Linked DNA regions of Mus musculus. The protein of the gene in region 1 interacts with the protein of each later gene in a pairwise test. Links are inferred from orthologs where the notes say so. Each region holds a gene or a part of one and is shown in the gene's direction. Other genes may lie near its edges.

Region 1 (3,513 bases):
CTCCATTTTGCTTGACTTTACCATCAGCATCTCAGCAGGGTGCATGTCTTTCTGCTGCCAAACTTTGTCAGCTGAAGTGGTCAACGCTGCTAGCGCTCAGCCAGTACCTTTTGTGAGGCTGTGGACTGTGGGCAGATGTCCGCCCTGGTTCTTTGAGGCTGTGGACTGTGGGCAGATGTCCGCCCTGGTTCTTTGAGGCTGTGGACTGTGGGCAGATGTCCGCCCTGGTAGTCCCGAGGTAGTCCTTAGGTCCAGAAAGTGAGAAGTAACCCTGGCAGTGGTCCTCGTGCTCCGAGGTGACATGATTGCTTCTTGGGGTCCGATGGACGTAGGTACTGAACTAGTTTGGTAGGTCCCCTTGCACTCATTAAGTGGTGAAAGCTGACTCTCTCCTGTTAGATTGGTAATTTCAAAAAGCTAGTCCTGTCATTTCTCTTACATTTTGCTGTTAACGGTTGTTTCAGCTGTTTAACTTCAGGCAGGCAAAGCTGTGCAGTTTGCTTTCCTCTCAGGATAAGGAGACTAAATCTCAGAAGGGTGAGGCAGTGGAGTGAGGAAGCTGCCCAGGTACAAGCCACCCTGGGCAGGCAACGCCACAGAGGCCCCTGCCGTCATTGTGCCTTTTTGTGAATGGATCTGTTAATGCCATAGGACTGTTTTAACATCAGGTTGTCGTAAAGGTTGCCATGGTATCAACACAGTGAAGGCCATTAGTTAAAACAACTAATTAGTTAATGTAGCTAGTGTGATGAAGTAATGAGGAAGACATTAATATAAATTTAGCCTGTAGATACCACTGTGTTAGGACCTAGACTGTAACTGGGGCAATGCACAGTGTTAATTAATGACTTACAGTAATGATGAAGCGCACTCTTGCTCTGCCACTGTTGAAAGCAGACTTTGATTCTCCACATTTCTTGTGCCTGTCTAGGAAGAATTTGTATGTCTTGGAAATGGTGTCCTGGGAGCTCTTAAGTTGTTGTGTATTGTCAGCCTTTTCTCCCAGGATAGCTGGGGCTTGGGGATCTACCCAGGAATAAAGCCGAGGATTTCAATCACTTCCAGTAGCTGATGCCACAGCGCCAAGATCTGGCTTAACCGCGTTCTGACTCTTTGCTTAGAGCAAGAAAAAGGCTGGTGGTTCTGTGTAGATGATCTACGTTTTATTTAGGGGACCATCCTGACCACAAAGATTTTAAGCTGCTGCATGTCACTCAACTTAAAAGGTTAAAGCCAAAGTCAGTCTGAAGGTTGTGTGGGATGATGTCAGAGGGGATGGAAGAAGCACAGGAGCCGGGTCCACAGAGAGGTCGGGGTGCTGACTAGAGCATTCGAAGTGGCCACACTCACTGGGTCTGTGGAAAAAAAATGTACTTTTTTTTTTTTAAATTCAGGAAGCAAAATGTGGATTCAGCAAACAAATTCTGGAAATACTGAATAGTACTGGGTATGTAAATCTTGTGTTCCATTCTGCTCCTGATACTTCACAGTTTTAATGTTTAAACATATTTGCACAATACTTATTTATTGACACACATTTCTAATTTTTATAGTGTATTTTGAATGCTTTAACTTGGACCAAAAAGGACTTTTCTGGCCCTTGTTCTCACCATGCATAAAAAAGTACAGGGAGACAATCACATAATTAGCATTTTTCTGAAGCCTTGGCTTTCAGAGCTAGGAAGATGGCTCAGTGGTTTAGTGTGTTCTGCTCTTTAAGAAGTTGAGAGTTGGTTCCCAGCATCCATATCAGGCATCTCAAAGCTGCCTGTAACTCAGGTCCTGGAGGACCCGAAGCCTCGGCCTGCTTTGTGTGGAGTATGGTGAACTGTTTAAGTCTCTGCTCCTGTGTTGGAGCTGCTGGGCTAGAGATGTCCGGTGGGGGCTCCCTGATTGATTTTTGTGCTTAAAACCAAATCCATCTGTGTGGAGCTGTTTAGTACATGTTCTTTTGGACATTTTTTCAAATGTTTGATTTCTCTTGTTTCATGATTGCTTTTCAAATTACAGTATGTGTTCTGATCATACTTTGAATAGATAGCCTGTTCTCTGAAGTTGCAGATCTGAAGTTGCAGGGTGGAAGGCAGTTATGTAGCACAGTTTGAATATGACCTTTAAAAAGTGGCTCTTCCTTTTAAAGCAGGATTGGGGTCCAGCAAGCTGGGGTAGAGGGTGTAGGTGCTCATCCCCCAAGACTGGTGCTCTGCGTGTGAGCCACATAGTGGAGGAGAGCTGACTGCTTCTACAAGTTGTCCTCTGACTGACACACAGATGTCTTGGTCTTCTACTGTGCCTGAGAGAAATCTGTCACGTCCCACTGTAGCTAGTCTTGTCCATTGAAAGACTGAGTGATTTTTGTCTTAGAACGACAAGCCTGAGAGTAAAGATCGTCCCCATGGCTTTACAGCAGGCTTCCTAGAGGAAGTGTGTTAGCGATGGACTGCTTTTCTTGACTGTATTAAAAACACTATATAGATTTTATGGTTTTGTTTAAAATGAACACCTAATAAAAATGCTTTCTCCTTTTGCAGGGTTGAATATGAAACTTTTGATATACTGGAAGATGAAGAAGTAAGATATAGGTTTTCTGTTTCTCTCTCTCCTTTTTTTGGTTTTTGTTTTTTGTTTTTCCAAGACAGGGTTTTTCTGTGTAGCCCTGGCTGTCCTGGAACACACTTTGTAGACCAGGCTGGCCTCGAACTCAGAAATCCACCTGCCTCTGCCTCCCAAGTACTGGGATTAAAGGCGTGCGCCACCACGCCCGGCTAGGTTTTCTGTTTTATCCCATGTTTTAGCTTTGTTCACAGGGTCTGATGGGAAGGATTCAGGATTTCTGTTGTTCCTTTAGGTGCGTCAGGGATTAAAAACGTTCTCAAATTGGCCAACCTACCCTCAGCTGTATGTGAGAGGGGATCTTGTTGGAGGATTGGATATTGTCAAGGTAAGAGCTTTTCACTGCTGTTCTCAAGAATTGACATACTTGTTATGTTTAAGCATCCAGCTGGGGTGGTGTGGGGCTCCTCCTCTCCAGCCTGTCAGTGTAGGTGCGCGTCTCATGCTTCCTCCTGCTCAGCTGCCAGGCAGAGGGAAACGCTCTAGCTGAGTGTCCAGATGACCTCAGAGGACCTGCTGTGCTAACTACTGCACAGCTTCCTTCCCTGTTTTCTTGTCTGTCAGTCCATCTTTACCTGGTTCCCGAAACTTTAGGTTTTCTTGTATCTTCCGTATTTAGATCTTTTTATCTCCATCCTTTGGGGCCCAACTTCTTTTGTAAATGTGTATTTCTCCTGCTGGGAACATTTCTCTGCTCTAAAATTCTTACTGCATTTTTATTTTTTGTTAGTTGTAATTGTTTCTCTGGGTCATTTTCCTTTTCCCTTAACCACCCTTAACGTGCAGGCGTGAGGATGAAGACTAGGAGATCATGGTCTGTCTCGGCCTTCCCAGTTCTGAGATTACGGGTATGAGCCATCAAAGCCGGCCCTACATTATTACTTCAAATCCTTCCTGATG
Region 2 (3,503 bases), on another chromosome or scaffold:
GTAGGGGAAATACTTCAATATGTTGGCATGGGCAAGGACTTCCTGAATGGGACGCAGTTACTCAAGAAATAAAGCTAATAAGGGACAAATGAGACCTTATGGAATTGCAAAGCTTCTATACTTAAAAGAAAACAGTAAAATGAAATATCAGAATGATAGTAATCTTGGCTAACTATGTATCTGAAAGAGGATTAATACCTCTGATGTACAAAGAACTAAGATAACTCAATAAATGAACTGATAGAATTAATAGATATTTCTCAGAAATGGAAATACAAATGGCTTCCAAACACTTGAAAAAATCATATTTGATAGCCATAGAAGAAACACAAATCCAAATCTAAACTACACTGAGATTCTTTCTTACCCCAGGGATAATACAAGTAATTATGGAAAAGGGACCTATTATATCTAGCTATATACTTGTGGACATTTACTCAAAGAACACCAAGTCAACATAGCACAAATACTTGCATATTACTGTCATGGGTCTTCACCATAGATGAATTACAGGACAAATCTACATATCTAACAGTAGAGGGATGGATTAAGAAAATATGGTTTACATTGGGTTTTTTTTTCCTCTAAAAGAAGCAAGTTATTTTAAGAGAAATGGAAATAACTTAAGATAATTCTATCAGGTGAATTAAAGTAGTTGCAGAAAGAAAAGTATGTATATTCTCTCATATTTTCATTGCTCAATTTGTTATAGAGAAATAAAGTTGTATATGTGACATGAAATTTAAAGTGAAGCTTTCTATAGGAACAAACAGAACTAATGATAGTGTTAAGGGTGAGACAATGAGAAGAGAAGAAACCACTCTCAACATAAAATATAATATAAACATAAAATAAAGGGCAAATTGGAGGAAGACGGACACAAAAATCACAGTTTTGTACTTTAAACATGAAATTTGGAGTGTGGATCATTTCAGAAAGAGCAGTAATGTGATCAGCTGAGCAATGAGATACTCTATGGATCCTTCAGGTATGTGAGATGAAGGTTAACAGGAATCCAGTTCCTCATCTTATGTCTACATCATCATCCATGCTGGATGTAGCATCCATGAGCTCCACAGAGGAAGGCTGGTGAGGAACACCTATCTGTTCATCACTAATCAGAAGATCATGTGAGTGTAGGCAGGGCCTCTCATGCCCAACCACTGTCTCACAGGTTTGGGCAGAGCCCAGAGTCAGTTTAAAAGGGCTGAGGGACAGAGCACCTCCATTCACTCACCTTCCGAGGTATCCAAAGATCTTGTGTACCTGGAATCTTGGTAAGTGCCCATTGGGATTGGGAACATGGCCTATACTAGAAGGAAGCTAGGAGGAGAGGTGGCAAGTGGAAAAGAGCTGGGTAAAGCCACAGAGTTCAGAGACATGTTAGCAGAGCAGAGAGCAATGGGGGAAAATGAAGGCTGGGTAGGAATGGTAGAGTCCAGGGGACTCTAAAACTCATGGGAGGTATTAGAAGGAATTGAGTACCTCTGACTTAAGAATCCAGAGTGGATATTCTGCCCTCCTGTGGAGTGGGGCTCAGGATTAAAACCTAAAATGCAGAAAGCCTTGGACCTTGATAGGCTTCAGGAGGGAGGGGGCTCCCTCTTGTAACAGCTCTCTTGGAAAGCCTTGAAAGCAAGACAAACAGTGAGGACACAGTACCAAGGGATCTTTGGGCCTGGAGCAGACAGAGCCATAGATCTGGAACTAGATCACAGGCTGCTCAGAAATTTTAAGACAACGAGCACAAGAATTATTATGTCAAACACCAGTCAACATGGGGTGCTGACATGAGTTCAGATTTGCCTGAAATGAGGAACAAGACCTGGTTCATAGCTTCAGGAATGGATAAGTTAGGTCTTTTATTAAATGCAGTTGGAACACCTAGCAATAATCTTTACTTCCTTCTCTGATGTCATTATCCTTATCAGTTTGGAAAGCTTCAGGAATCCATAGAACTCTTATAAGAATCATGATATGATATACAATAGATGTAGCTCAAGCCCAGTGGCATTATAAAAGATGTCATTCAGAGAAATTAAGTGGAGGAGGAAATTATTCTGAAGATGCTTCCAGACTATGAAATCTCTCAACTTATGGGTTTTTACAGGAGATTGTTTTTTTTTTTTTTTTTTTTTTTTTTTTTTTTAAGAATAAGAACCTATTTTTTCCTGTCAACGTTTAGAAGATAATTTGGCTCTACAGGCCATTATCACAGAATGCTTTGGGGTTTGTTAGAAATAAAACTACAGAATATAGATTTTCTATGACTATCAGTGATATTTAGAAGTAGATAGGATGACCCCAGGATCCTGGTTCTAATTTGCATTATGATTCTTCCACAGCCCCAGAGCATTCACCAGCAGAGATGTCCTGCCAGCAGAACCAGCAGCAGTGCCAGCCCCCTCCCAAGTGTCCTCCCAAGTGCCAGACCCCAAAATGCCCTCCAAAATGCCCCCCTAAGTGTCCTCCCAAGTGTCCCCCTGTGTCTTCCTGCTGTAGTCTGGGTTCTGGGGGTTGTTGTGGCTCCAGCTCTGGGGGATGCTGCAGTTCTGGAGGCTGCTGCAGCTCTGGGGGTGGAGGCTGCTGCCTGAGCCATCACAGACCCCGCAGATCCCTCCGTCGCCATCGCCATAGCTCTGGATGTTGTAGCAGTGGTGGCAGCAGTGGCTGCTGTGGCAGCAGTGGTGGCAGCAGTGGCTGCTGTGGCAGCAGTGGTGGCAGCAGTGGCTGCTGTGGCAGCAGTGGTGGCAGCAGTGGCTGCTGTGGCAGTAGCCAGCAGTCTGGAGGCTGCTGCTGACCTGAGCAACTAACACTTTAGACAAACCATTCAGGAGAAAGCCATGTTCAGTGGACCTTCCTTGGCCTGTTCTTCTCTCCTGCTGCCTTTTGTGTCCTGGGCTCAAAGATGCTGTAATCTTGTGAAATGTTTTAAATGTTCCCCTATTGCTGGGTTTGTCTTCTTGGGGACAAAATAATAAAGTTCTACCCTAACGATCTTCTCTAGACTCTTGATTATTTGACTCCAAGCATCTTACAAATCAGTTTTGCCAATTAAGGCTCAGTTGTTCCAAAGATGACTCAGAAGCCCGGGGCTGTGTGGAACAGTAGCAGGTTAACTCACGGGTTGTGGACAGTGGCTCTTTATTCACCTTTACTGCATACAGTGAGGGTCAGTCTATCCCATATGTTGCCCAATGGTGTTACTGTTCCTCTATGGATGCATATCTATTTTTTTTTCTGGGTTTATATCTTTTACTCCATTATGTCCATTGTCATAATTACAGCTCTGGATGTTGTAGTAGTGATGGCAGTAGTGGCTGCTGTTGAAGCAGAGGTCGCATCAGCTCTGCTGTTAGCCATCAGTCTGGGGCTGCTGCTTACCTTTGCCATGATAACCTCAGATAAGCAGTAGAGGAGGCACATGTTGAAGGCTGGTTATTCTCTTCTCCTCCTGTTCTGGGCTCAGGGATGCTGAAATCATATGGAAAATTTTGAGTCCC

What was found. The genes of interacting proteins can lie anywhere in the genome.
Region 2: the proteins of Glrx3 (region 1) and Lce1a1 interact in binary tests that used the Homo sapiens proteins (3 or more experiments, as listed by UniProt). The two-hybrid records come from large-scale screens. The link is inferred for Mus musculus from reciprocal best matches to the Homo sapiens genes GLRX3 and LCE2D.

Annotation. Positions count from the first base shown.
Region 1 is NC_000073.6:137,461,567-137,465,079, forward strand, and holds part of Glrx3 (glutaredoxin-3), read left to right. Parts: intron 1-1,394; coding exon 1,395-1,447; intron 1,448-2,531; coding exon 2,532-2,571; intron 2,572-2,848; coding exon 2,849-2,941; intron 2,942-3,513. UniProt on the Homo sapiens protein: Together with BOLA2, acts as a cytosolic iron-sulfur (Fe-S) cluster assembly factor that facilitates [2Fe-2S] cluster insertion into a subset of cytosolic proteins.
Region 2 is NC_000069.6:92,646,031-92,649,533, reverse strand, and holds Lce1a1 (late cornified envelope 1A1), read left to right. Parts: upstream 1-1,226; 5' UTR 1,227-1,277; intron 1,278-2,345; 5' UTR 2,346-2,368; coding exon 2,369-2,800; 3' UTR 2,801-3,002; downstream 3,003-3,503. UniProt on the Homo sapiens protein: Precursors of the cornified envelope of the stratum corneum.